4 linked regions of the Arabidopsis thaliana genome follow. The protein of the gene in region 3 interacts with the protein of the main gene of each other region in a pairwise test. Each region holds a gene or a part of one and is shown on either strand. Other genes may lie near its edges. The genes, in order: AT1G35560, TIFY8, KNAT1 and BLH8.

What was found.
Region 1: the proteins of KNAT1 (region 3) and AT1G35560 interact in binary tests that used the Arabidopsis thaliana proteins (3 or more experiments, as listed by UniProt).
Region 2: the proteins of KNAT1 (region 3) and TIFY8 interact in binary tests that used the Arabidopsis thaliana proteins (3 or more experiments, as listed by UniProt).
Region 4: the proteins of KNAT1 (region 3) and BLH8 interact in binary tests that used the Arabidopsis thaliana proteins (3 or more experiments, as listed by UniProt).

Annotation. Positions count from the first base shown.
Region 1 is NC_003070.9:13,114,511-13,120,904, forward strand, and holds AT1G35560 (TCP family transcription factor), read right to left. Parts: upstream 2,726-6,394; 5' UTR 2,615-2,725; coding exon 1,589-2,614; 3' UTR 1,316-1,588; downstream 1-1,315.
Region 2 is NC_003075.7:15,713,238-15,720,836, forward strand, and holds TIFY8 (TIFY domain protein 8), read right to left. Parts: upstream 5,631-7,599; 5' UTR 5,466-5,630; coding exon 5,219-5,465; intron 4,526-5,218; coding exon 4,356-4,525; intron 4,264-4,355; coding exon 4,007-4,263; intron 3,929-4,006; coding exon 3,832-3,928; intron 3,720-3,831; coding exon 3,494-3,719; coding exon of another isoform or gene 3,429-3,493; intron 3,423-3,428; exon of another isoform or gene 3,285-3,422; coding exon 3,196-3,284; 3' UTR 2,995-3,195; downstream 1-2,994. Other genes in the region: LUG (transcriptional corepressor LEUNIG), read left to right, coding at 1-122; AT4G32560 (paramyosin-like protein), read left to right, coding at 629-655, 783-887, 997-1,110, 1,186-1,365, 1,489-1,568, 1,869-1,908, 2,019-2,126, 2,340-2,420 and 2 more; AT4G32580 (Thioredoxin superfamily protein), read right to left, coding at 6,641-6,877, 6,979-7,053, 7,128-7,298. UniProt on the Arabidopsis thaliana protein: Repressor of jasmonate responses.
Region 3 is NC_003075.7:5,144,550-5,152,881, forward strand, and holds KNAT1 (homeobox knotted-like protein), read right to left. Parts: upstream 6,611-8,332; 5' UTR 6,062-6,610; coding exon 5,594-6,061; intron 5,483-5,593; coding exon 5,357-5,482; intron 5,253-5,356; coding exon 5,114-5,252; intron 4,567-5,113; coding exon 4,310-4,566; intron 3,627-4,309; coding exon 3,420-3,626; 3' UTR 3,150-3,419; downstream 1-3,149. UniProt on the Arabidopsis thaliana protein: May play a role in meristem function, and may be involved in maintaining cells in an undifferentiated, meristematic state, and its expression disappears at the same time the shoot apex undergoes the transition from vegetative to reproductive development.
Region 4 is NC_003071.7:11,919,525-11,927,900, forward strand, and holds BLH8 (BEL1-like homeodomain 8), read right to left. Parts: upstream 5,225-8,376; 5' UTR 5,068-5,224; intron 4,400-5,067; 5' UTR 4,379-4,399; coding exon 3,380-4,378; intron 3,292-3,379; coding exon 2,942-3,291; coding exon of another isoform or gene 2,938-2,941; exon of another isoform or gene 2,846-2,937; coding exon 2,785-2,845; intron 2,361-2,784; coding exon 2,016-2,360; 3' UTR 1,826-2,015; downstream 1-1,825. Other genes in the region: AT2G27980 (Acyl-CoA N-acyltransferase with RING/FYVE/PHD-type zinc finger domain-containing protein), read right to left, coding at 1-217; CPN60A (chaperonin-60alpha), read left to right, coding at 7,079-7,132, 7,447-7,630, 7,728-7,849, 7,924-8,131, 8,217-8,362. UniProt on the Arabidopsis thaliana protein: Required for specifying floral primordia and establishing early internode patterning events during inflorescence development.

The sequences.
Region 1 (6,394 bases), on a different chromosome or scaffold from region 3:
CAAAAAAAACATGATTTTAAAATCTACTAACATAACCACTAACAACTGTTATCAATCGTTAACGCACAACAAAACTAAGACAAAAAAAAATAAAAAGAATACAAATAACCAAAACACATGACTACAGAATAGTTAACGACTGATATCGGCTTTTAGTGGTTCCGTAATCACATTTTAACGTCATGTCAAAATTGGTCTGATCAACGCAATTTCATGTTTAATATGGCAGTCAACATTTAGTTGATATTTAAAATAGCTTACTATGAAATTCCTATATAAAATGGCCATTTTTTTAAAGTTGAATGATTACATGACATTTTTCCCGAAGAGAATGTTGAGAGTGATTTTATTTTTTGTCATCAGATATTATTTAGAGTTCAGATGAACCAAGATTGCGGAAAATTGTTTATATAGGTAATATGTAGCGGTTTGACACGAATTTTTCTTGCCAAATACTCCGCTTTGACATTGGTAATACGAGAGAAAGATAAATAAAAAATATGAAATAGTCAATACACGAATTAATAAAAGACAGAAGTTAGGATAAGTAATATTTTTATATTTGCATGTTAACGTTTTCTAAAATATTACTGATACACGTATTCTAGCAATTGTAATTGGTCAGAATTATGTAACAAGTCTTATGTTAATATGTAACTTGCTAAAGCTTAAGTTAGGAGCATGCTTCTACATCCCATATATGATAGATATATAAATCACAAGTAAAATAAATCATATTCTTTCTTCTTGACATGATAACATATTATTTCTAATATATTTTAAATATATTAAAAATAGTAAATATATAAAAATCCCAATAAACCATCTATTATATACACTTCCGAAATCAAATCCAATATTTTTTTTAAACTATATCAACTAACTTGAAAATATCAATTATCAAAATATATATCCGGGCTAACCCCTAGTCACATTAAAAACGGCATTTCGCCTGATTACCCGTCCAGCCTATTTTTCAAACACATTGGAATTTACTGTGGCATAGGAGTTCTCTCTGACGTGTCCATGTTGCTCCACAAGTGGACAATTTTTTGGTAGATACTACAAAAGTATGATAGACAAAATACGAATTTTAAAAGAGAATTAATATATAAATCTAAAAACCCATTTGTATCCAAACATGTGGTGCTCATGCACCCAATAAAGTTTATCACTACAGTCTACACCATATAATTTTTTATTTATATTCGTTAGCTTTTTACGAACTGCAATCAATTCGAAATATTTGAAATATATGAGCGGTCAAAGAAGGTGTATTCAATTATACCCTTCAACAAAAGAGAAAAGGCATTCTGATAAATATTTAATTTATTCTTTTGTCCATTATGTTACACATAGAGATTCAACTATATTTCCTTTAAGTGACATGCTTTTGCATCGAATAAAAAGAGTTGCAAAACTCGTTAATTATTATGCAACCAAAACAATAAATCCATTTTCTTAAATAACAATTTGGCAATCCCGAAAAGCCAACCCTAAAACCCATATTAACATTGGAGTCCTCAACAAAAGTTGCAATAAATCACACATTCACACTTTTTAAAAACCAAAGAAATCATGAAGTCTTTCAAGGAGAACCATCTATAGTAGGATTTTGGTCTCTAGTAGCATGATCACTCACTTGATGTTGAGGCTTTTGCTCAAGACTCATTCCGAGACCAACCCGACCACCGTCTCCTCCTCCGCCGGAAAATAGCCCCAAATTGTTATTTTCTGCAACACCTAACCCTAACTGTTGACCTCCCACTAACATAGACCCTAGCTGAACCGACCCGATTCGACCCGGGTAATGACCCGGATTAAACGCCCACATGTGCTGTGATGGATCCTGAACGTTAGCCGGACCTCCTCCTCCTCCGACTGGTAACATCCAAAAAGCACTACCTCCGTTTGTGGAGGCTGGCGTTGGCGCTAGTGCCCACATCGGCGGTATCATATTTTGTGTTCTTGACCGGGTCGAACCCGGATCTTGATCAGGAGCTTCGGATCCCGGTTTAGGTGATCTTGAACCGGGTTCTTGATCTAGAAAATTAGGATCTTTAAAAAGATCTTCTTCACGGAATGTTTTGGGAAGAGAAGAAGAAGAAGAATCTGTCGTGATATGATGAGGATGATAAAGCTGTTGCTGGAACCCAAAAACGGCAGCGTTTTGAGCCGCTCTTCCCATGTGGAAAGATTTAGACAGTGGAGCTGAAAGAGTAGAGCCACTGCTTCGAAGAGAGATGTTCAAAGTAGAGATATTCGCCGGTATGGTTCCAGTTCCGGTGGCTGCGATGATAGCTGGCTCCGCTTGTTGGAGCAGCCACTCTATAGTCTCGCCGTCCGATTTGTGTTGTAACTCACGTGTTAGTTGGAAGACACGTGCTGCGCAGATAGCCGGCATACGTATCCTCCGGCCACGTCCGTCTACTTTGATGTGACGGTCCTTGGACGGTCGTTTTGCGGGTGTTTTAGCGGCGGTGACGGTGGTGGTAGTGGAGTTTGGAGCAGTGGTGGTTAATGAGACTGAACCGGAGATTGGTCCCATGGATGGGACCAGATGGGCCGAACCAGTGGTGTTGTTGTTGCTCTGGTTGTTGTTGTGGGACTCCATATTGCTTATAAAATTTATAAATTATGGGGAAAAAAACACACAAGAAAATGGAATAAACAAACAAACAAACTTGTACTGAATTTTTACTTATAACCTATAAATTCTTGGAGTATTTTTTTTTTCTGGTGGGGCTATGAGTTTGTGTTGACTGTTGTTTACTTGTTTGGAGAAAGAGAGAGTGAGAGGAAGAAGATGAAGCAGCTTGTAGAAAAGAGAGAGAGACTTTCACTTTCTTTTTCTTTTGTGTTTTATTTTCATTTGTAGTCCCACTAGGTTTTTGTAGTAGAGAGTAGAGACCAATATTTGCTGTTTCCACACCAAATGATCACTTAACCTTTTTTTGTTTGGTTATTATCACACTTACTATATTGTAGTATAAAAATAATTATGCGCCGAATGTATTGAATTTTGGTCTAACTTTGTGAGACTAAAACTATTTTTAGCAATGGACTATGAAAAGTTTGGAAGTGTTTTACATGATTGAAAAAGGTGTGGATTGTCTAAGATTATAATTTTGGGGCATTTTTGTTGCAATCTTTAGATTGTAGGGATCTATTTGTTGGTTTCCTTATAAAGTTTGGCTTTTAGGTTGGATTTTGCATGGGTGGGAAACGTTGAATGTTCTATGGGGGAAAAGAAAAAAACTAATCACTAATCATAGAGCCAATTTACACCCAATATAATAGTGTTTTAATATTATTTATTTTTTTAATAATTTACTGATAATAACACAAATGTCTCTTTCTTTGATTCTCTATTTTGTCTTTGTTATCCGAATTTGATGAAAGACTTGTTGAGAGATAAGGACCACTGTTTTTATTAACGATGATACTAATAATTGAAGACTATATATAAAGGCTTCAATTCTTTTCCCATCTGCCAAATTAGCACCCACAGACATAGGTTATATATAACTAATCATCTCAACTACAATTTTTCTCAACGAAACCTATACATCTCATTCTAGATGTGAAAACTGTCTAAGAATAGTCCAATTTCAGCCTACTATGTTATATGCACATGTATCAGGGTGTTAACAAAGTATTCGAAATCAAAAAGTTTTAAGGAAAATAATTATGCAAGCGTAGTAAATCAATTAGTTTATTGATATTCACGTTGCTCTTAGTGATTAACCATGTATGTATAATCATATTAGTATTAATGCCTATTAACTGATTTATTGCAATATTTTAATTCATAATTGAATATTTAGACTGTATTATTGTTTCATTTTTTATATCAATTAAATTCCTTTATTAGGTTTTATGTTTTTATCAATCCAAAACCATATAATATATTATATTGCTAGCTATACCATTCGGAATCTTAATTTGGACACGAGCTTGAGCTTTTTGGCTGTTCTTAATGTAAGTTACATGTACGCACCGTGAGCTAAATTATAGATAACAATGAAAGTGAAACCAAACCACTATAAAAAAAACTTTATATTTGAACAGTATATTTTATATAATTTATATATATATATATATATATATATGCAATTATATTTTGAACTGTATATATAATCTCTCTTATTTTTTATTTTCCTGAAAAATAATTGTTGAGACAGATGCACGTGTAAGCATTAGCAGTGAAAGAAAACAGTAAAACAGTCAGAGATAGTTGAAGAAGTACAAGAAGCGAGTGATAAAAAAACGTGATGTTTGGTCTGAAACTCTGGATCCTCCCACGGTCCATTGTCTTGTCTCTGTTCTCTCCAAAAAGTGAAAATGTTCATTTACAAGACCATATAGTATGTAGCCTTGTTCAAGATTCTGTTAGAGCACCTTCATTGGATGGAGACTCATTGAGTATCTAAGAAATAAACTATTAATATTTTTTTATATACATTTATTTTTAAATAAATTATTTTAATTGCTTAAAAAAGTATAAAAGTATCAACCAATTAATGTTTTAAATGTGTAGGCAAGACGTTAAAAATAAAATAAAATGGTGAGAGAGTGAAAGTGTTAATCACTCTTCGACCATATATATCTCTAAAATGGTGCTTTTAAATTGTTTTAGAATCATCTACTGCCTAAAAAGCCCATGCTTTACAGGTTTTAGCTTTGGGTTGGTCTTGTGTGTAGGTATGATCTCATGAGTTCTCATCCAAAAAACAATTCTACTCTCTTTCATTCCCTTTAATTTCACTCATCCCATTTTACATTTCTTGTAAAAAGTTTCCTCAACCTTTCACTTCTCTTTGATACCACCTAGATACATAGAATCTCGTATTTCTATAATCTTGTGATATACATCGTACTTTTTTTTTTTTTTTTTTTAATGTAATGTTAAATTAAATCCAAAAAAAAAATAGCGTTTTTACATCTATGTGCAACATTTTGTTGAAAAAACTGGAGCAAAAACTAGAATACAATCTAAAAATTGTTTCTCATTCTCTCATCGCAAACCAAGCTTGTAAGCCCTTGTCATATCTCTTATCTCCACTTGCTTTGATCGAACAAAGCTGGTTCCGAGTTTGTTTGTCTATTCATTTGATTAAAAGAGCTGCTGAGTTTGGTTTCTCTCCATGATTCCTTCCGTTCCTTTCGCGCCAAATGGTGTGTACCGTGGCTTGAAAGAGATATCGCGCAAAGAAACTGTCAAGCGGTGTCATCCAAGAGCCGGAGATGGCTTGTATCAGGTCTTGCCAATGTGTAGAAAATCTGTCTCCATAGATTCCTCTTGCTAAGTTACTCCAAACTATCGAAGCAAAGTCACAGGAGAAGAAGAGATGATCCCGGGTTTCGGGAGCGTTGTGACATAGCACACAAGCGGCTGACTGACCTCCATTCCAATGAGTCATTCTGTCTCCTGTTGAGAGTCGGTTAAGAACTGCTAACCAAACACAAAAAGAGTACTTTGGCGTGGAATGACCAAACCAAACACCCTTATACCAATCAACGTCCATGGATATGGTCCGCATATGATTCAAGGTCTCTTTAGTCAAGAACTGTGGCTTATATACGTCATTTTTACCTTTCCAAAGAACAATGTCCTCATCCTCTGTTCTATCGTTTCTTTGTTGTAAGAGAGCTGTTTCTATGGCCTGAAGGTGAGTAGATCTGTGTCGTCTTTGTCTATAGCCTTCCCAAGCCTCTGCTACTGTTTTATGCTTACTTATTCCAAGATCAATTTGCCCCCGATCACCTACAACATCGTACTTCAATATTTCTTCCTCCGATAATTTTAGAATACTTTTTCAATGCTTTGTTTTTCCTTCTCTCATAGCATGTGACTAATATTGACAATCTTCTAACTCGTCTTTGCATGAAATGTTGTGGGAGACTCTTGTCTCAATGGTTCTTCCATAGTTAATTTTTCTGTTTCAGTTAAATGTATTTCAAATTTAGCTTTTAAATTTTGTTTGGGCATGTCTGTCTTCTGACTTTGTAAATAACTTTTTCGTTTCGAGGTAATATATATTCACAAGTTATAAAGAAAAAAAAAAAATGTTGACGATCTTACTCCGTTTTCAAATGTGTTAACAGCCACTTTTTCTGGTAGATTTTCCGGTGAAAGCACTAATTAGAAAACCAGTTTTTGGACATGATGGAATCCTCGTCGAGAACATTATATGCTGGTGTATTGGAATGTCATAAATAGAGTTTGCTTCGGTGAGAAATGGAGGTGTAAAATAGCTAGCTTAGAAAACTTGAAATGTTGACTTAACGGTCAAATGGTGTACATTTTGAAGAAAAAAGGAGAAACTTAAACCACGTGTATTAATATTACCAAAAGGAGAAACTTAAACCACGTGAAAATCAGTTTGTTGTG
Region 2 (7,599 bases), about 11 Mb from region 3:
CAGAGAACAAGACGATGACATTACCAGCTCACGAAGGGCTAATTACATCTTTGGCTGTTTCAACTGCAACTGGATTGGTTGCATCAGCTAGTCATGATAAGCTAGTGAAACTGTGGAAGTGAAAACTATGAGAGAGGAAAAGAGACGTTTGTTGTTTAGGTATTATTAGTAATCATGGTTTTTTTTTTAACTTGTAGTGTTCTCTCTCGGCCATTATCTCGATCTCAAGATAGTTTTCCAGATGTTGAACAAATGTTGTTGTATGATCTGACGAAATTGGGATCTTGAGAAATTGTGAACAACTCTTGTTGTAATCTTTACTAGTCCTTTTGGCTCAGCTTTAATTTACTGGCACTCTTCTTCACTTAGTTTGGGTTGGTTTGGTATTTTATGTTTGAACGTTTCAATAACTCTTTAGCTTTTCGAAACGCTTGAAAATTGAAATGTGAGAGCCAATCCAATAATACAGTTGCATCTTATTTCAAAACTACAAAAGTATAAAACTAAACGCAAACGTGATAGTTGAAAACGCAAACGTGAAAGTTGTAAACGCAAACGTGATCCTAAACGCAATGTCGAAGTGAAAGTCGTGATGGCTCCGTCGTATCTGAAATCGTGGTAATTGGTGATGGAGAAAGACGATAACAGTGACAAGGTTAGCAATTTAGCAGGATCTTCATCGATTTCTTTTTGCTTAATTTTGATTCCTCAATCGAAGGATGAAATGTTCGATGATAACTTGATCTGTTAGAGCAAACTCTGATATACTCTGGAAACCACAGGTTTGTCTTTCAGTGAAGGAGAAATATACGTCAGAGCAGCCTGAGGAAATGGTGACAAATCTGAAGGCATCTGTAAGAGAATTGAGTGTGAAAGTGAAAGAACAGGTGCTTTGTTTCTTCTTTCCTCAGCAAATAAAGTCTCTTGCTTCTATCTTATGGTGTTTTTGATCAAACCGTGCAAAGGTTTTTACTTTTGTTGTCATTTGTAACTTAGAATCAGAGAAAATGTGATGCTAAGGATAAGTTGCAGCAGTTGCGAGAAAGAATAAGCAAGGAAGTTGTTGATGTTTCAGTCCAGGAGTTGATACCGCTTCTTAGATCACTCAAGGTAAATAAGTGTTGAGATGAGTAAATTGTGAGTGGCCCTAGGTGATGTAACTTTAATAGTTGTAGGATTTTTCAGGAATTTGTGAAGGAGGAATCTGAAGTCAGGTCTCGTTGTAATGTTAAACGTTCTGCTTTAGAAGATGCAGTTCATGATTTGGAGGAGAGAGCTGGTAAGGGGCTTGATGGTGAGATTCAAGAGGAAGATTTAGATGGTTTGTTGGTTGTATCTTTAGATAATCTCACTTCAGCAAAGAAGGTATACTCTTTCTATGCTATAGACAGCCTCTATGCATCTTCAGCATCATGTAGTTGAGATTCAGGTTTTTTCGTTTGTGTTTCTAAGAAGTTTATTGTTGCATTTCCCTTCATTTTACTGTAGGAGCTTGGAGCAACGCTAAGAGAGATAGTCTCTCTGAAGCGACAGATTGACGATGTGCCATGCCAATCTGAACTCCTCCAGTATGCTCTTCTTCCCCCACTTTCTTACTTCTAAGATAATATGCCTTGGATTTGGCACTTTGTATTTGTGTACTTGTTCGCGTTGAAACTCTTTCATCTCAACAATTTTTTTGATTTAACCCCACCACTCCCACTGGTTTGATGAGCAAGTATCTTTGATTATGTTGTAAAATATATGAATCATCATGTCAGGAGTCAAGTTAATTTGCGTGTAGCTTTGTGGAATCCAGTTTTACTATGGCTAATTTCCCACTTGGTGTATTTATTTCACGCTAAATTCCAATATTTCATTCCGTGCAGATATGAAAGAAGATTCTCAGAGCTGAATGTCTGTATTCAGGTTCGAATAGTCAAATTAATATTTGCCTCGTTGCTTTGCAGGTTTGTTTCTTAGTTGAAAATGAACTTGCTAGCTTGACGAACATTTGTTTGATATCTGACTAAAAACAGGAGAAACTTCAACAAACTAGGAAGCTCTATGCAACATACAATGCTCTTTTAGAAATCAAAGATTTGATGCTTAAGGAGACATCATTATTGAATTCCATAGGTTCACAGGTAAAATACAGGCATTATTATTTTGTTGATTTTCTATAACTAGCATCATCTGCTTTGTACTGTTCTCCACGTTGTACCTTTAGTTGTCATGTACTTATATCGTTGAGAATAGCTTATGTTCATTACTAAGTTGATTTACGTCTCTGCTTTCCCCTTTTAGTATATCTCTTGGTGAGTCAAAGTTTCACCATAATTCCGTTGACTTGATTGTAGTTTCAAGACGTGATTGGTACTCCTGCTGGCCGTGTGAAGCTTATTGATTCAATGGAAGGAGTCATGAAAGGAATCCAACAGGTAATCTGAGTTATATTGAATCAGGTATTTGAGGCACAAAGCATGAACTAACCCATCTTACCTATCTATAGCTGTATGATTTGTCATAACAAAATGTTTAAAGTGCAGAAGATTGGAAAAATACAACTTGGGCTTCAAGAAGAGCAGAGGCTCCGTGATGCTTCAAAAGAAAAGTATATAGCTGCAGCTGCAGAGCAAAGAAAATGCTACACTGTACTAAGAGCATACCAGGTTAGCACAAGATAGGAAATAAGTGTTTATACTGAAAAGCCCGAGAGTCATCTACTTACGTAGTGCTAAATTTCTCAATGGCAGGAGGAATGTACTAAGAATGAGAGGCTGAGAAGTCATATATCTGCCATGAACGAACACCTCTGACTCGAAGAAGGGTTTGAATAAGGTGATATGAAGTGACTCTCCTTTCGAGTTACAGCTAACCAGAGTAGAGCCAGAGTTGATTTAGATATGATTCTCTTGTGATGTGATGTATCCATATGCTCAGCCTTACATGGAAATATACGAAAATCGATAGGCCTAGAAATAGTAGGTTTGGTTGACCAATATGTTTATATATGAGCTATGAGAAAATATTATTCTCTAAATCATTGAGGAGATGAGTTTGAATACAAACCTAGAAAGGTACAGAGCATTGTACAAAGCTATCAAGTCAACAAATAACAACTTAGAAGAAGTTGACCAAAAACAAAAAAAAAACAAAAAAAACAACAACTTAGAAGAACAGCCACACTCATCGTCTCTCATATTCAGACTTTAATCATGTGGCTTCTTTTTCAGGATCTGATCTGTGAACCGGATCTCTGATATCTCGTCCCCTTGAGATGATGCTTCCTTGATGCTCTCTACCTGCAAATCATACATGTACATGGTTTTATGGCTCCTCAAACAGATTCAAGTTGATAAAACCCAGAACAGTTGATAACTCTTTACTGTTGTATCCTCATTTTATTATGTCACAATGCAAAATAAGACCTGATTACTCTACTCCACTCAGTATTTGTAAGAAGCTAACCAAAATTTCTGCTGAAATCTGGTTTTCTTTAAAAAGAAGTCACCTGGTTGTGTAAAGATCCGGTGACAGGCACTGGAGGTAGGTTGATGACTCGGCCTTGCACGAAATTCCGGGGGCATTTGTGGTGTTTCCTTAGAGCTGCCTCCTTCATACATTTGGCCTAGCTTGTATGGACCGTCACTTGTGTTGTTCTTCGACTTCGGTTTATGAGACAAACCCGTAGACCATGAGCCTCCGCTTGATCCTGCCAAGGCCATTATCACATCCGCCTGCAAAAAAATAACATTCATCAGATGAACTTCTCAATTCTCTACCTTTTTAGATATCAAAATGTAGTCAAATAACTTGAATATCAAGTGTATAAGTGTTAGGGAGAATCACCTTGTTTGGGTGAACGTCATCAAAGACATGAGCTTGACCGCCATAGAAGATGGTCATTTGCTTAGTACTCGACGCCAAGTCTTTCCGATTTCCGGTACTGCAAATACAAAGTGTATTGAAATGACTCGAAGAGTATCGAAAGACCAGAGACACAAAACACTAGAAGCTAACTGACTTTGAAGGGGCAAAACTTTCGAGCTTGCTTGAGTTTGGCATTGTAAAAGAACTCAAGATACCGGGACCTTTCATCCCTGTTCGTGAACCTTCATCAGCAGCTGTCTGAGCAATAACTGATGGGCCTACGTTCTCATCTTTGAACCTGCTAGTAGACAGCTGATGAAGCAAATGACTGATCTGTCCTCCTCCGCGTGGAGGCTGGTTTGCCAAAGGATTCACATTCATGGAGAAGCTTCCAGGTCCGTTTCTAAGCAACTAGGTTATGACAATGACATATTACAGAAACTGAGTTCTACGTAGCTGTGACCATGGTGAAGTTGTGTAGGTTCTGTTTTTTTTTTAGTTACCTTGGACCAATGCAGAGTCTCTGGGTGCTCCTGAGTCGTGAAGTGAGAATCAGAGTTACTTCTCTTATTTCCTGAAAACCGATTGCTCATGATTGAGCCAGAAACATCACTTCTTGGTCCAAACAATTGTATCCCATCAAGATGATTCCCACCGCCGCTGTGTCTTTCGACTAAACAATGATAAAATATGGATAAGTAACTTAAAGATTGTTGTGGGAGGGAACTCAAGGAGATAGAGAGAGAAAACGAGAGGCAATAAAGAAGGGCCAATTCATATAAAAAAGGATCACAACCTCAAATGGCTATGACCCACCAAACTCATCAGTCAAATTCACTCTCAATGTCCCAACTAATCCACCAGAGGGCATTATGGTTGGGCAGAGAGAGAGAGAGAGAGAGAGAGAGAGGGAGAGTCCTTAACACTACAAGAGGTCAAGCAACCACATGCCCACACACAATCCATGTTCATGTTTCTTAAATTGTCGAACTAAAAAAGCAATGAGGCAAGAAATGAAACAAGACAATGTACATTCACATTTTGTTCAACCTTATGAACCCAAAGATGTTCCATTTTCAACTTAAGAGATCTAATCATAAATGAATTGACTAAAAAATTTGAAACTAACTCACATGATCTCTTACATTTTCAAATCATGGTGAATCAAAGCTCGATCGTTAATCCAGACTAGGGGGAAAAGAAAGAATCCAACTTTAAATCGAATCTATGTAACAAAAGTTGAACTTTCTATAGATAGAAACCCTAAATGTACAGAGGAATCAGCTCAAAACCTCATCAGCGTAAGCACACTACGTCAACAACAACAAAAACATCAGGAGAGAGAGATAGAGAGACAGAGCAGAACCGAGATCGGAGGTTGAGGAGAGACCGCCGAGTCCACCGGCGGAGGAAGCAGAAGCCGTGGAAGGAGTCATCGCCGCTTTAGCCGCCTTATTATCCGGTGGTAGCCTATGGTCAGCCATGGAAGTGGATGCTAAAGTAGGATTCTTGGAGCCTAAAAAGTCATGGAACAAGAGCTTATCTTGTTCTGTCTGTCGGAGACGAGAATCAATATCAGTGGGTCGCTGGCCATTGTTGTGGTTCACCATCATGAAACCAGTGTGTCAGTGTGGCCACTTCGCCACCACATCCTCCGTTACAGTCTTTCTCTCTGTCTCTGGCAGAGTATTATTTCATGGACACACTCAACGAGAGAGAGAGAGAGAGATATTATCAGTTTTTTGTTTTTTGTTTTTCTGGGTAAGTGTATAATAAAGCTTGTCTTTTTCTTCTTCAAGCTACTTTATTGGGTTTCTCTTACATGATTTTAATTCCCTTTAATATTATAATAATCACATCTTTCAAATAATATATGATTAAAAGTTCAGCCCAAAAGAAAAAAGTACGATTGTAAAATCATGGCATTATAGACTCTTTTTAAATTAAGGTTATCATAGATTCATAATGTTATTGATTTGAGAAAGTGAGTTTGTGTATCTAATCTAACCAACACACTATAATTTGGTGTAGTAGTACAATGTTAACTACTTTACTCATATGTGGTTGTTAGATCGATTAGTTAAATAATTTTTATACACATAATTTTATCATTACGCGCCAAATAATCTGTTTTAAAATTAAAATGCAAAATGTATGCATATAACTTTACCTAAATATATGGTTTTGAGATGAGAGTTGTTGAATTTTGAATGATTATAAGTGTTTGATTTCTTACTCTAATATGAGTAAGAGAGAGAACTCATGAACCAACCACTCATGACGAATTTCTATACTCTTAAATGAAATCGATTTTACAACTACTCATGACGATTTTTCCCACTTTAATCTAGTTTAATTATGGAGTATTTAAGATGTTTATTGAAACCACCAAATTAGTATTAGCTGATTTTTTAATCAACTAGTCTCCGGACTGTGATTAATTGGGTTGATAGAAGTATAATGGTCATTTATATGGGAATTGGGAACACGTGTTGTTTTTCTTGTTCTTACTACACAAACCTTAACTAGATGTTTGTGATATGGAGGCTCAAGTATCTGGGTTAACAATAGAGCTAGGGGTAAACTTTCCAGTAGGCTTATGTTCTTCCCATATGAACATAATTCCTTCAACGACAAGACATAGCACGTGTTCTTCAAACAACAGTAGCAGGTCAACTTTAGCAACATGTTTGCTCCAAGTAGCTACCTGATATATATCCACAAGAATTCCAACTATAAAGAAAGTACTCAATAGATATTAAAAATCGAGGCTCTTCAGGAGTACCATTCATGAATAACATAACAGGGTGAGTTTTTCCAAACGATTCTTGAGAGCATCAGCGGTAGATACAGGCTGAGCTCGGTCTTGTCCAGAAGCTTTCGCATTCTTCTTAACAGTTTCAAGAATCGTTGGCCCTGCAGCCAACCCTAAGCTTGCAGGAGTAATAGAACCAGCAACTTTGCCAACTTTATTAGCTAAACTTGATGGATCTGCCCCTTCAAGTGTATCCACAGTTTTGCCATCCTTCAATAAGAAAAGGATTCAGTGCAGTGACAAAGATTCAAGCTTTGTCAATAAGCCAAAAAATTGCAACCAAACAAAGAATCAATATGCCTAAAGTTTACCTTGAAGAAGACGAAATACGGCACAAGAGCAACAGAATAAGCCTCAGATATCTCAGGATGTTCCTCAGCTTCTACCTAAGAAGATAAATAAAACCAATCAAAGTCAAAAACCAATTGAAAGAGATAAAATTCGAACAGAGACGACGAACCCTAAAGAAGTGAGCACGAGGGAAATCAGTAGCGAGATGAGAGAAAACTTGATCCATCTGCTTCGAAGCGTCACACCAAGAAGCCCAGAAGTGAAGCACGAGTGGTGCTCCGCTGTGGCGCAAGTTATCAAGCTCCTCCTTTGAAACGATATCCTTCACAGTACCACTCATCTTCGAAGAGGAAGGAGATGTCGCGTCTCTCTCGGAAGGATCTCCAACACTTTTTCTTTTCTTTTTGTGATTACCAATCTATTATCGAGCAGAATTCTTCTGTTGCTGGAGAAGGAAAAGAGATTTATGTAACTAAGAAAAAAAAATGGTCGGAGAGGGAGATTTGATTTTGTGTCTGTATCGTACGTGTCACAAACTCTCAAAAGTTTGATAACTGTCAAATATACCACATGACAAGTAAACTATCTTTTACTGGGTTATATAGTTGAAAATAATCCGCTAAACGATGATAGTGAATTTT
Region 3 (8,332 bases):
TTTAATTTTTTTACGATTAAATGAGTTTAAATGACGGTTTGGGTTTACAAAGGAGAATTAGGGTTTAGATTTTGTAATTAAACGAGATTATATATCGGTTTGGATTTATAATTATAGCTTTAATTTATTATGTAATTTAAATAGGACTTGACATGGTATGTTTTTATTGGTTAATGCAAAAGGAGGTGAATAAAGGGGTTTACCCCTAGGGGTGAACCCTAGTTTCTTTAATATATAAGAGTGGAAGAAGAGAGATAATAATGATGACATGAAGAGAGAAAATAATGATGAGATGGCAAAATTGATATTTTCCCCAAGTGATTTGAATGTTGAATTAGTTTCATAAAAATAACTGATTAAATCATTTAACAATTTTTAGTAAAACATAGATTTTTTTGTGTGTATAACATGATTTAAATTTTTGAAATCTGATACAAATTATTAAAATAATGAATAATATTTGTCTAAAATACACAAATACAATAATATAGAATGAAACTAAATAGTATAAAACGAACAGTAGACAAAGAATTGAGTTAAACCGATATGATCCAAAAAAACTATAACCTATAAAATACAATATTGGCAACCCAAGCAACCGAGGTACACCGTAGTGGTGACGTTGACAGTAGCGGTGGTGGTGGTGGTGAGTGGTGACGGTAGCGGTGGTGGTGATGACGACAATGGTAGTGGTGATACTAACGGTGATGTAGACGGTGGTGGTTGCGACGATACAATTGTGGCAATAACAGTGATAAATGATCATGGTGACTTGGTGGTAGATGCTAATGGTAGTGGTGGCACTAACGGTGACATTGACGGTGGTGGTTGCGATGATATGGTTATGGCAGTGATAATGATAAATGATGGAGTTAAATCGATACGATCCAAAAAAATTATACTTTATGGGATACAACATTGGCATCCAAGCAACCAAGGTAAACCGTAGTGGTGATATTGACGGTAACGGTGATAGTGGTGGCACTAATAGTGACGGTGACGAGGTGGTTGCGGTGATACGGTTGTGACAGTGACAGTGATAAATAATTATTATGACTTCGTGATGGTGGATACTTATAATTTTTGTTTTGTTAAGATAGAATAGAAGAAGAAGAAAGATAAATATTTAAAATAAATTAAAAAATAAATAAAAGAACTATGTATCCTACAACATGGGGCAAATATGGCATTATTATAGATTATACATAGAATATTATAGTCTTATAGTTAGAATAGCTAGTTAGTTAATATAAGTTTTTTTTTTGTTATACACTCAAATTTCCCAAAATACAAATAGTTGAAAACTAAACTAAGTGTCACTAAATCATCTCACCAACAACTCTACACTAAAATTGTTTTTTCTCACCTTTCACATGCAATTTTCTTAATTTATATATATATATATATATATGATGTTATATTCTTAAAAAAAAATTTCAACTCAACTTTCATTAATTAGATTAAATGTAATCAGAGTGAAGTAGAGATGAAATACATCTTGGAACATAATAAAAGAACATAAAATCTTGACCAATTCGTGATTGATGCTATATTTTTAATTAAGTTTTCAAAAATGACTAGTTTTGCAAAAAACTCTTTAAAAACATTAGTAAAAAAAAAAGGATGATGATGCAAGAATTGGAGCTAATCCATCCTTTGATCACTTGATGAGCAAGAGTTCCAAACTTGCCACGCGGAAGGTGGGATGATGAAGGTGGTGATCTAACACGCTGGCGATCGCTTCTCTCGTGTGGGATCGATTCAAGGGGAATTGATGGGTAGTTGGGTGATTGACTCGCTCAATCAGTTGGGTAATCGACTCACTCGATCAATGAACGAATGAAGGATGTTGAATCACTCAACAAACTTAATCCGCAGATTCCTGACGTACTTCATGACTCACTCACAAAGAACTAAAGAACAAATGACAAAGACTCAACTTTGACAAGAAAACGTTTCTGTTACTTTAAAATGATCAAGGGTTGCTTTACAATGAATGAGAAATCAGCTTATATAGAGCTGAATACAATGTTCTAAGGCATTAATGAAAGAAACAAAACATAAATGAAAATATTGGACATTAATTGTAGAATATGTCCAAATAAGGCAAGTGAGATGTGCCTTGTATCTTGTCAACTTGGGGAGGAAGTTGTGACGTCTTGGAAGGTTCTGGAGGGTCTCAAGATTCTCACATAAGCGCACAAACAAAGAAGGAAAGAGTTGTTGGTAATCGATCTCCTTCGGCTCCATATATGGCAAGTAGTAGCTCAGCGGGTTCTTGTGTGGTAAGATGTACCAAAGTTCGTGTGGTATAAGTCTTGTGTGGTCTAGATGTTCTCCTGGTTTCCATATGTAGCTTTGAGGTGCGTCCAAGTGTAGAATAAGGAAGATTTCCTTGTTTGGCTTCATTTCGTGCGGTACTTCAGAAGGTAGTTTCAGCAAGTAGTTCAGCCGGTCTGTTAGCAAGTACATCAAATATATGTACTTTTGATATCTTCGAATCATTTGCTTGGTAAATGATTCCTTGATGACTTGATGTTGCCTCGTTAAAAACCTTTCTAGGTAAACCCATTGGGACAAACCCTAGATAAGGGAAAAAGAGTGCAACGGTCATATCCCCACAATATGGTGACTCGGCTCGCTGGTCTTTGACCCTTCTTGAATCATCATTAGTCTTCTTAGAATTAATTTGCTGGTGAATAATTAACCCTAGGCCTTGTGCTTGATTGAGACTCCAATTGGGCAAGAGTCCTCCAAAATGCTCTTCATCAATCGGTTTGATAAATGTACCGGCTGATTTGGTATGGTCCCGGTTTGGTTTAATTTGGATGTCCGCATCAGATGACGAGTGGGTGCAAAGGGAGAATCTTTAACTTAATCTTTCGACAATAGTTTTTTTTTTTCTGGTAGTGATTCCATGACCTATGTATTATGATGTAATGCTTTCGCATAAGTCATAATATATGCCTGAAACCGTGTTCGAAGCAAAGATGGTTTTGAGACTTATCAACTATCGATGTTTTACATTTTGTGGATTTTGTTTTAGCTTGTGGAAAGGCATGTAAGAATCCATTAGATCAATTTGGGTTTTGTCTTTCAAAACCATACATTTCATGCCATATAAAATAAAAAAATGGAGCAACACCTTTTCAGAATAGCATTTTCCTTTCACACATTATTAAATAAAAACATTAGTGAGAAAACAAAAAAACAAAATACACCGAAAAAAAGAGAAAATAAAATGAAGGGATATTTCTGACTAGGAAGTCTCAAACTCCCCGAACGACATAAGACATTACAAAAGGCGTGAAAACAAAGAAAGCTATAAGTAGCAAACTGATGTAGGGGAATTCAAAACATGAGTTGTAACAAGAAAGCAACGAGAGGTTGTTATTATGTGGCTAAAGCTTTTGGATGTCTTATGGACCGAGACGATAAGGTCCATCACCCATGTAATGACCATCCATGTACAGAGCTGCGTGGTGCGGGTGCTGCAGACCATCCATCACCATGAACTGCATGTCTTCAGATGGTTTCCAGTGACGCTTTCTTTGGTTTATGAACCAATTGTTGATTTGTTTCTGATCTAACCCCGTTGATTCCGCCAACGCTACCTTCTCTGACTCCTGCCACACAACTCAAACCAACCATCTTCATTTATGTAGTAATCAATGTATAAAAAGCAATGCTAGAGATAATCGAAAATTATTTTTAAATGATTCTAGACATAAAAATGGAAAATGACCTAAAGTTTGTTGTTTTGAACGATTCTCTAAGTAAAATGACTAACTTCATTTTTCTTTGACATCAAGTAACGACTAACTATATGTTGTCTTATTATCTTTTTAACAACATGTCATTTATATTTACCAATATTAAACATGTTTTTTTCACTATCATTACAGTCGGTTAGATTAGTTATTTCATTTCAAACTAATTAAAACTACAAAAAAAATTAAATTGTTTCAAAATATATGGATAAAAATTTCATCACAAACTTACATTTTTTAAAAAAAAGTGATTGATATACGTGTTAGAAAATAGTATGTTAAGGGTTAGAACACCATGACTAAGATATGTATCCTAGTGACTAATTCTAGTGTTGTGAGCATTCGGATTTAAAACCATGTTGTTGGAAACCGTACAAGGATTTAAACACAAAATCGGTCATGCAAGTACCTACTTGGCCTAACATAGCGGCTTCAGAGGGAATTGCTAGCTTAAAGATAGGTTTTTAAAACACTTAATTTGTAGTATATATTTTAAAAAATATGAGGGCAAAGAGAGATGAGAGAAAATTTATACGTACAGAAGGATATGGCCACTTGTAATGCAACTCCCACCACGTGAGAAGCTTCTGCCGTGCTTCTTTAGGAAGTTTACCTTTCTTTTTCTTCTTGGATAGTTCTTGCTTCAAACTGCTTAAGTATCCACTATACTTCTTCAGCAAATGGTTCTTGAGTTCCCGATCTTCGGCCCTCGGGTCTATTTCCGGTAATTCTGTTTCCCCTCCGCTGTTATTCTCTTGTTCTTCGTCTGATGATCCCATATTGTCACTCTTCCCATCTGCTTCAACATAATATATTTCATGAAGTTAAATGGTTTAGTCATTTAACAACATTCTAGTCATCTACCTTTATGATTAGACTAATTAATCCGAGTAGAGATTTTGATGTTTTAGCATAACGAAATCGAAGAAGATAATGTCCCAAATAAATCTTCACGAGCAGCACCAAAAGTTCTTGTGATAGTACTTTTGGGCCGAGTGAAAAGAAAAAAAACAAAAATAAGCCCCACCCATCTTTGGATGGATTCCACAATGGGGAAAACAAGAACAAATATGCACACCTATTTGTATCTTACATACTTTCCAACAATAATGCATCTCAATTATCTTAATTATCTTATAATCTTAATTAACATTTGAAAATGTATGTAGACTATGATTTTTTTTTTTTTTAATATCTCAATGTTACAACAATTTACCATGAACCAAAGAAACATGCCAATTTATGCAATCCATCATTAGCCCTACCTTGCCACTACACTTTGTTTTCTCCAGCCATTTCTTACATGTGCATATATGTATGTATATGAGATTGATGACATGTACCAGGATTGTTGAGGATGTGAATGGGACTCTGACACAACATGCTAAGCTGAGATTCAATACGACGTATAAACTCCATTGCTTCCTGAATGGGCCTTGTTAGCTCCTCACGATATTTAACCAACATGTCACAGTATGCTTCCTATTCATACCAAAAAATAAAAAAGGAAAATCAAGACTTCTAACACATATACACACAAAGAACCGACCCATTTAATTAAAATTCAACTTTGGTTAGTAATGAACCATGAATTGATCTAACTCCGGGTCTCTAGAGGAGGCAGAGACAGACGGTGTTGACCGCTGTTGTCGAGCCTCAAAGTCTTGCCGTGCCGCCGTAATTCTATCAACCACATCAGGTGGAGCTCCAATCTATATAAACCATGACCCATGAACATACATATATATGTCACACATAACTATATATTATATCTTTAAAAAAAGAGTATATATTATAACATAACAATAAGAATAAAACCAAACCTTTTGGCAGTCCAAGTAAGCTTGTAGGAGGGTAGAGTAGTGAGGATGAGCAATGATTTTAGCCTTCATGGCTTCAACATCGCTTACGTTGTCATTGTTGTTGTTGTTAGCTTCTTGAGTATTGTGGATGGCTCTCATTAACATGGAGTAATGATTGATTCTTGAGGAGCTAGCTTCAGATTTAACAGATGGGTTGTTGTTGTTGTTGGGTTGATCATGATCAGATCGGAAGCAATTCTCGGTTGTTTGAGGGAGAAGAGAGCTCATATGTGGAAACAACATGTGTTGGTGGTGATGATTGTTGTTGTTAGTATTATTGTAACCAGGACCATAATTGCTACTATTATTATTGTTGTTGTTGTTGTTGGTATCACTTGTGTTATCGTTTTTGTTGGAAGAAGAGATTGGAGAGTACAAGAAACTTACTCTTTGAGGAGTGGTGCTGTTGTCATGCTGGTATTCTTCCATACCCAGATGAGTAAAGATTTGAGAGAGAGAGAGAATATAAAAATCAAAGAAAAAAAATAAATTAAAAAAAAATAAAACCCTAGAAAAATAAAAAAGGATGGGTGTAAGATGAAGAGGATGTATGTATTCTTGCTTTTGTTCTTATTTCAATCAAAGGTCTCTGTAAGACTATAACCACATCAAATCCAGACGACTAGACGACTCATCTATGAAATCAAAAAGGCCTAACTCAAATTAATATAAAAAAAGAGAGAAAATTTTGTGAGGTGAAGTTGCACCCAAAGAAAAACCAAATAAATTGAAAAAGATATATTTGAGGAAGAAAAAACGAACTAGGTATATAGAATTCGTCAAGGAAGTGACATGGAAGAGAAGAAAATAAAAAAAAAAAAAAGAGAAAGAGAGAAGAAGAGAGAAAGAGAGAGAGAGAGAGATTAACAATAATGAAGAAGTTGGGTGGCTTGAGTGGATTGACAAGACGTCGTTTGCTTTGGGAGCAAAAAGAAATATTTGAAAATTAAAATAAAGGTAAGAGAGAAGGGACAAGAGATAAGGCAAAGGCTTCTCTCTTCTGTTTTCCTCTCATAGGCTATTTTATACATTAGAACAAGACTAAGTAATTTACTTAATTAAAATGTGGTTTATAATATTCGAATTAAGATGAACCACTCAGTGTTTAAGCAACTAGGTCTTCGCGGCTACTTCAGGCTATGGTTTCTTGCTAGGTTGAATGATATATTTTGTACTATTTTCTAGTAATGAAATGTTTTTTTTTCTTAAAAGAATAGTCAAGAAAAAAGTTTTAAAAAAAATATGTATGATTTATATATACTTCTAATACGATATAAACCCAAGAATTTGTAGTCTAGTGGTTGAACATAGAGTTCGTTCAACAAATTGTGATCATGTGTCACATTATAATTCTATACTTAGGAGAGGGGACTACGTTTATCTTGTTCTGGTCCTCGGTTTCACTGTACGGGTTTCTGCCTAAAACTTACGGATAACAAAAAAAGAATTATAAACAATATGATAGAAATGTACATATTTGATGCAAGACTTGGATGTTTTTGGAGTTTAATCAAATCGATGAAATTATAATTTTAGTTTTCGTAATTTCGTATGTATATTAGTGGAGAGATCACACTATCCGAATATTTGTTATCGGATAGAAGATTACATTAGAAACCGAGAAAAAAAAAAGGAATTATAAAAATGCTTTACAGGATAGTGGATATTATACGATATTCTGCTAATTTCCAACTATTGGCTCTATGATAAGACCATGCTGCAAACACACTTCTTTCAACACTTGTTCTGTTCCACGGTCAACATTCAATTTTCTATTTAATCTCGATTTATATTTCATGATTCATGAGACGTATAGAGTGCCTATGAATTCATTTTTATACAAAAAGAAACGAAAATCCTAGGGTTTTATTTATATATAAATCGTCAAATCCTAGGGCTCTAGATCAAAAAGTTGGCTCATCGATAGATTTTTTTTTTTGTTTACCTCATCACTGCACTAGACCGAAACTTACATTGTGACTTGTGAGAGTTTGTAAACAACAAAATGTAAGATTTCTTACAAATTATGACTTGCTATGCCGGAAATTTTGATAGTAAATATTTAAATATATATGTATACATATATTATTTCTTACTATTAAAAAAATAAAATCAGCTGCTTAGAACCAATATTATTAGAATTTCATTAAAAAAAATCGAAAATGTTAAAGGTTAAATTTTTGCATTCGAAATGTTTTCTTTTCCTTTAAGACCTCCTCTTATTTTCTGTTTCAGTATAAGATGCTGAAACATTGACATCATAAAAGATCATTCATTAAGGGTACATCTTTGAATTAAATATCATAATATTCCAAAACACAAGTGCAATAGACTAAAAACACACTATAAATAAGTCTCTGATCCCAATATTCTCATTAATATGGTCATGCAAGAAGAATATATATATATATATATATATATATATATATAAATAAAAATATTATAATACCCATAACCATATGGATCTAATTTCTTATAATTTTCTATTAAAAAAAAAATTGTTTTCAAAAGTGTGTACAATTTCATAGAATTCTATCTTTTAGATTAGAAAGTCAATTATAACAATAAAATAAAACATTCAATTTATTATATAAAAATTCACCGGTAGGCATAGATTGTTCTCTAAATTTATTAATAAACTCATTTACTCATAACTATGTAACGACTTGTATGAGGTTATCTAAACCTGCAATAAAACAC
Region 4 (8,376 bases), on a different chromosome or scaffold from region 3:
TCTTAATCCCACTCTTTAAACCAGACGCGCGAATCGATTTCTTAACCTCCACACTTCTAGACTCACCATTCAAGTTTCTACTTCCCCTAGTCCGACCTAAAGACTCACCACCACAGATCTCAGACTGAGATTTCAAAACAAATTGCAATTCTCTTTTACACCCAGTACGAACCTGTGAAACAGCCACAAATTCTCCAGTAGCCGTACCTTTCGCCATCGATTCAAACGCAAGAACTTGTAAAATCAATCCCTTAACTTCCTATTAATGTCGAAAACCTAGAAAACGCATCGATGTAGTTATGGATTCATATCTATGAACGAGTGCGATTAAAGGTTCAATTTGTAGGGATTCGCTTATCCTAACCAAAAGAAGAAGGAGAAGAAATTAGGGTTCCGTAGTTATCACCAGAAGAGAAGGGAGAGATAAAGAAGAAGTTGAAAAAGCTGTTTTGATTTTCTGAAGAAGACTTAATTTATTTTTATTTTTTGAAATTTTATCTGTTGTATTTTTATTCGAAATTTTCTCTAATATCATTAGTTTTGAGTTATTTCTTAGAAGCATATATACTTTTATTGTTTTATGATTTAACCCCTATAGAAGTATATTCTGTAGCTTGGAATCCTTTTTCTTGCGATGAACTGTATAGGATTTGAATGTGTCTTGTCAAAATCTTGGATGTTTTTTTCTTGTTTGTTTTGTCTTAAGCTTTCGAAGCATACTTTGGTTACTTGCATGGCTTTGTGTAAAATGAAAATAATGTAGCAAAATGTTTTTATTTCCCATGAAGGAAGGATTTCATATGTGAGATGTATTGTGTAGAACTGGTCAATTTCACGTAGAAATTTAGGGCTGGACTGGTTTATACGTAGTAGATGTGGTTGCGACTGTTGTAGTTTGTACAGATGAGCGGTTGTTGTTTCAAGCATTATGAAGCAGATGCGTTTAATTTAGCGGTTGAGAATTGATACGTTTTGCGGAAGTTTTATGACTAGTTAACAATTAGGTACAACAACAGTTAAATCGAAAATGATCAAAAAAATATAATTTATAATTATATTAAGTATTAAAACATTAAATATTATATTATTATTATAAGATAGAAAATAATTTAACTATAGTTAATAATAAAAATTATTTAAAAATTCTACATAATTATTCAAAATAAATAAATTTTTACGTAAAATGCTTTTTTTTTTTGATGTAATGCATTTGGGACACAATGTCTCCCGAGTTTATTATATATAAAAGTTTGTTTAGGACACGTATTCACAGTCTTGTTATCACTAACAAGTGTCTCTAAAATTGGCGGAACATAATCAAAATGATAACCTAGCTGTAAAAAATAGCATAGTTAGTTATCATTTGCGAGTTAATTAGCTTTCTTATACAAATGAGAAATCCGGACAATTCAGTCCCTTGAATATATACCGTCATGGCGCAAATATACCAAAAAAGACAGCGGATGTGGCATGTCGTGAGAAATCCAACCGCCACCTCCGATTAACTTCCACTTCCAAAAAGTTCGCTTTCCTCTCCCACGCGATGTACATGTCATAATAACCCCCTCCCCTCCTCCCCCACAATTCTGCCAAGAGAGCCGAACAACGACCAATATTTAGAGTAAATCCTTACACGAACCTCCAGCTATATCTCGGATAACTTCACCAACTTCATCCAGCCCACACTCGGTGCCACCCACCCTATCATTCTTTCCACTCGTTGTCTGGTGGACTGCCTCTCCTTATTAGCCAAATTGGCAAGTTATACAATAAAATTTTAAAAATCAAAGTTTTGTTAAGTTTAATTTAACTTAAAAATTTTAAACCCACAAGGGACGGATCTTAATCTTAGTATAACATAAAAGAAATAATTAAAAAGGTTTTTAACAAAAAAAATAACTAAAAAGGTGATCAGAGAACTTTGTGGCCCTAAGTTAGGAGTAACCATTTCAAGACAACTTTGTTATTTTCACTCTACCCAAAATACATAAAGGTGAAACAAAAGCAGAGGATTTTCAACCCACAAAGTCATGAAACATTTGGCTTCCAGTTCCAAACTGATGATCCTGAGTCTGCGTTTGGATAACATTGTCCACACCACGCCTAAGCTCTAACGTGAGTGACACGTTCCCTCTATTGAACCCCACCATGTCCATGTACTCTAACCTCGACCGTTTTGTCCCGGAGAGGCCCGTTAGCGTTTGTTCATGGCTCGGACTGCTAACAGTATTCGGTCTATTTGATGGCTCAATGTTGTGACTAGTATCTGCATTTTTAATTGCTTTGGTCTCAAGTGTGTGTATTTCTTCCACCATAGGTTTCCATAATCGCACACGGGCGTTTATGAACCAATTTGATACCTTTAAAAAAAAACACGAAACCAAGTCAGCAAATCTTGTCAAAAACCAAACCTAAAATTAGGTGAAGTCTATACTAAAGAGTTTTTGCATGTGAGGATAATGAGACGCTCTTTGTCCTGACATGGTTCATGGTGGAAATGTTTGAAAAAAGTTAATCTTCTATTTACACGTAGAACAATTTCAGTTTTTAGTTACACATGCACTTGTCTTTCATAAAATCTAGACTAATTCTATATATGCATGCTTTACTTTAACATATAAGATTGATGTTATTTGAGAGTAAGAAATTCTAAAACCATTAGGTTATTGTCCCATCAACATGCTTTAAACCAATAGAAGAAAACAGGACCGGCCAAGAGCAATAATTCAAGAGACAAGCATATTTAAAAGTTTCACCAAACAAAGAATTACATAATTGAGCTACCTGGTTACGAGAGAGACCAGTTTGAGTGGCTAGCATCTGCTTATCAGAATCAGTGGGGTACCTAATAACAGTATTAGCAATAAAGGATATGAGAAATCACATCAAAACATCATATCAAATAAAATCAAATTACATCAAAAAAATTGTGAGGCTTTACGGATGAAGAAAATGGTCAAAGAGCCATGCTCTAAGAACAGCCACTGCACGTTCGGGCAATCCCCTTTGAGGCCTCCAGATATGTTGTTGTTGAGATTCAAACCCGACATTGTTACCAATCAAAGATCTTTGCCTCTTTTGGAATCGGTTGTTGTTGTTACCGTTTGATGAGTGACTTGAGATTTGCTTCACATGTTCAGCTATTGCGGTTCTAAGGGCCTTGAAACTTCGTGAAGTCCGTTTGAGAGCCAACGAGATATACGGTGTTGCGGTGTTTAGACCAGCCACTGTATTGAAGGAAGACATAACTGTTTGCAACTGATGATTATATAGTTTGTACCACTTGCAAACCTTTTCAATGTCACAAGTTATAACATGTTAGTTTTGTAACGAATCTATAGATTAAAACATGACTGTGTAAGAATATAGTTTCACAAACCTCTTCTTGCAGAAAGAGAAGTTTTGCTTTCTTTAGTCTATTCTTGGGTTCTAATGGCTCAGAAGAACTACTAAACCCTGACAAGTTATCATCATCATCATCATCATCCTCCATGGAAGTAGATTCACTTCTACTAATAATCTTTGAAGCATAAGAGATACAAAACTCTTCTAACATTTTCTGAGCCGGCTCCAAGAACCTCGAACTCTTCAGTATCGATGCATATCCCGTGAAAGGCCCGAGTGGGCCGTGAATATTCATTGTTGACAAAACAGCTGCATTTCCAACGTCTCTAGATGGAGGGATATCAGACAAAAGTGAGAGTGGAAAGCCTTTCTTACTATTAGTATGAGAAGTGGCAGTAACATTCACTGGTCCGTGGTTCCAGTTGCTTGCATTGTGCGCAACTGATTGATTCTCCAAACTTGGGAGAAACGAAAATTCTCCTCGGTAACTTCCAGAAGAAGAACCTTGATCATAACTGCTCCTTAAAATCTCATTACCAGTACCCGAACAAGCCACCGTTACACAACCCTTTTGATTATCGTCTAGACAAGAAACTTCACTTCTCCTAATCATGCTAGACTGAGGAATAGAGTCCCGGCCGACATAAAGAGGACGGTCCAATATTTGGTTTCGAGAACTGAAATGATCGGACAACAAATCTGCAACGTTGTTTGGCCTAATACCAGCCTGATCATATCCGTGATTCACGGTACTAGGTTGTGACAAATCACTGATTCTCCAATTACTAGGGCCTTGTGGGTCTCTATGTATCGACTGAGGCATGTTCATAAAGGTTGCGGCAGAATCTTGATACAAATCGGTTTGAACCGGTACGGAAATCTGGTTCTGTAAGATACCAATCAAATCAAGGTTGTTGGGAATTCTGATGTTCTGATGCTGCTGCTGAGTCCAAGTGTTGGGAAAATCATTCATTTGCTCAACTCTAAACTTATCTCTTCGGATTTGTTGAAAATCTGGTTTTATCATATCCATCTTTATGTACCTTTTGATATTCTATCATAAGAAATTACCAACAAATTAAATATGCATGAGTTCCATATATATAGCAAATTAATTAATAAACATCTGTAAATTGGAAGAGGTTTTTTTTATGATCACAGAAACTACAAAAGCGAGTTGTATGAATGGAATAATCGTTAGACTGTTCAAAAAAAATGAAATTCTTACTAACATGAACTTAAAGATCCAAAATTAAAACCAGTTTACAAGAACATAAAGATTCATGCGACAGGGACCTTTTAGCTAACATAATATATGCATTAATTTCTATATAACCAACAACAATAACAACAAAAGAACGACGACCTTTAATTAAATTTCCAAATGAAAAACTACAAAAAAAACAGGGAAAACACGAAATGAGAGATGGACGAAGTAAAAACACCCAGAAAATAATACTTTTTATATAAGAACAAAACCCTAGGAAACTTCAAGAACAACAAAGAGAAGAAGAACAAGAAAACAAAAAATAAGGTGTGAGAATATAACTAGTATTCGGATTTAAATTTGGTAATATATATCATAATCGTCAAGATTTCAATTTGGAACTATAAGTACCATGAGCAAAACAAATACTCGCGAGGAGAAACAAAATGAATAAGGTAAGTGGAAGTGATAAAGACAGATAGATCTCAGAAGAAAAAAGGGAACACAACACATACCGATCGGAAGGTGGCCGGAAAAATCGTCGGAGCTCCGGTGGTGAGTTTAGATATGTATGTAAACCGACCGTGGGAGATAGAGAGAGAGACTGAGAGAGACTGAGAGAGAATAATGATTGCGTAAAGCCGTAAAATCTGTAATGGTTTTTTTCTTGACGTATTAAGGTGGGTTTTATCAGTCTTTCTATTACACGGTACTGTACTTACTCTCTTAAAAATCTATTTTGTCGGTTTTTTTCCACGAAAATTATTTTCTTCTTTAAACTGATACACATGTATCAATATCCAAATGAAACACATTTTTATACAAATTGAAACATGCAATAAACTACGGAATATCTAAAAAACAATAAAATTAACGGCCCTAAAATTAATTTTAACTAAATTCTTTAATAAAATAAAATAAAATCATAAGTCTATAAAGTATTAGTTATTTTATGGTAGTTTAATGGTTAATAATTGTTTTTTCATATAGAACATAGGAATGTGGTTAAATTTCAGAATTTTAATACACTTTTAACTTAATTATTTGTTTATATGAGGCACTTTAAGTTTTAGAAAACTATAAACACATATGCAAAACATCAAACCAAATTATGTTTTTGCATGTCTTTTGTTGCATGCTCTATATATCCTAACTATTTTTGCTTAGTAGTCCACTAAATTGTTTCGTTTCAATCACAACCACTCAAGAAAATAATTACAATAGATTACTAAAACAAGTTAACAACAGTGTTATTTATTTACTCTTTTTGTCGTAATGCTTTAAATTACATGTCTCTTTCTTTTCATCGGACAACTGTTAGTGTGTTTTTTTGTACATCAGGACAACTGTTAGTTTACTCATGTTTTCTACATTGTACATTTTGGCAGTCAATTTTACGGCACGGTTTCCATTAAAGATATGGACGTCATCTTATGGTAAGCTGCATCTTTTGAGGAATAATACATGTAGACGTCCCTATTTATAATTTTTGTGTTACGTAACTTCCCTTTTGTTATTAATTAAGTGTGTTTATTTGGTCAATTCACTCAATCAAATCAAACCCAACGCCAAACTGCAACTATTTATGTGATTGACGCTTCAGAGTTGAAACTGCCACTTTTGTCAGATTTATTATCTCACTTCCCAACTTTTCTTTTCCGTAACTAGTGAATTTATTCATGGGAAACTAATTTAATGCATGGTATATGATGCGTACAACAAGCAATACTTATATGAAAAAAGATTTAGAAACAAATTGTATTGGCTTAACTAAATCAATTAATCATGTAGCAATTAGGTGATTTGGAGTCTATTCTCTGTTTAGAAAAGTAGTAACTGTTGTCTTTATGAGAGTTTCTGTTTTACTTAGCGGGTAAATCTACTCTAAGCTAGGTGTTTTCATCCACTTAACATGTATTTTATAATCTCATGGTTTTCACAAGTCTTAAATTGTACTTATTAGTTTGGTCTAAATATTACTCCCTTTGTTTCATTATATTGGATGTTTTAGGGATTTTATTTTGTTTCAGATTATAAGATGTTTTACAAGTTTAAATTTAAATTTAATTTGACTATTTGTGACTATTTATATTTTGCAGTTTTCATTATCATTTTTTTTAACAAAATCTAAATACTATTTTTTATATACAAAATGACCTAATATGTATCCATTTACCTTAAACCTCTTATATTTTAAAACAGAGTGAGTACATTCAGTAAGAGAATGGATAAAAACGAATTTGGAATACACAAACTATAAAAGTTTCTTGAGTACTGTTTCTATTATTGGGCCATAAACAGTGAGACAAACAGGCCCATAGAAGTAGGTGAAAAAGGCTTATTAAGATCAACGGTTCTCTCGTTACGAATGCAAAGAATCTTCTGGATCCTTTTTCTCTCAGCTACTCTCTCCATTTATCTAATAAACCCTAACCCCTCCTCCCACACTATTCGTTTACACTAACCACTTCCTTATCCACACCAATCCAGAACGTTCCTCAAAAAGCTCCCTCCTTTTCTCTCAAAATGGCGTCTGCAAACGCTCTCTCTTCCGCCTCCGTCCTCTGTTCTTCCCGTCAGGTACAAAGTTTGTTCCTTTTTACCTTCCTTAGCTACTTACTAAAGAAGAAAATGAATCATCTTTCATTACTTTGTTTTGATTGGATTTGACCCTTCAGTGTTATCTATTTTCAAAAACCTTTCTCTATCTGGTTTATTGGGTTTTTGAAGAAAGTGATTGAATTTGACCCTTTAGTTTGTTCTGTTTCAATTCAATTGCTTTTCTCTATTTGGTTTCTGGGTTGGTGAGAAAAGGTTAATTTTTATGGGAATTAGAAGAAACTGATTGAGATTAATGTTAATGAATCTGCTTTATTGATGTTGTGGGTATACAGAGTAAGTTGGGAGGAGGAAATCAGCAGCAAGGTCAGAGAGTTAGCTACAACAAGAGGACAATCAGACGTTTTAGTGTTAGAGCTAATGTAAAGGAAATAGCTTTTGACCAGCACTCTAGAGCTGCTCTACAAGCTGGTATTGATAAGCTTGCTGATTGTGTTGGTCTCACTCTTGGCCCTAGAGGTATTTGTTAATATTAGTAGCTCCTTTACTCTTTCCATCTTCATCTGTGTTATTTATCTTTCGACTTATCTTGGTGTTTTCATTTGTTATTCTTAAGGGAGGAATGTTGTGTTGGATGAATTTGGAAGTCCTAAGGTTGTGAATGATGGAGTCACCATTGCTAGAGCTATTGAGTTACCTAATGCCATGGAAAATGCTGGTGCAGCGCTTATTCGTGAGGTTGGTGTAGCTTTGTTATTGTCTCTGTTAATGCTATTTATACGGTGCGGTAATCTGGTGTTGTTATGTGGTAGGTTGCGAGTAAGACTAATGACTCTGCTGGTGATGGGACAACCACTGCGTCTATCCTTGCTCGGGAGATAATCAAACATGGATTGTTGAGCGTCACTTCTGGTGCGAATCCCGTTTCACTCAAGAGGGGAATTGATAAGACTGTTCAAGGTCTGATCGAAGAGCTTCAGAAGAAAGCTAGGCCCGTGAAAGGTCGTGATGACATCAGAGGTACTAACTTTGCAGTGACCTTCCTTGTGATGCAGCAATGTTTGATTTCTTTTACTGATCAATCTGTTCTTTTTTTTTTTTCCAGCTGTGGCTTCTATCTCTGCTGGAAATGATGACCTTATAGGGTCAATGATTGCTGATGCCATCGACAAAGTTGGACCTGATGGTGTTTTGTCCATTGAATCTTCATCTTCTTTTGAGACCACGGTCGAAGTTGAAGAAGGGATGGAGGTATGAGTTTTTTT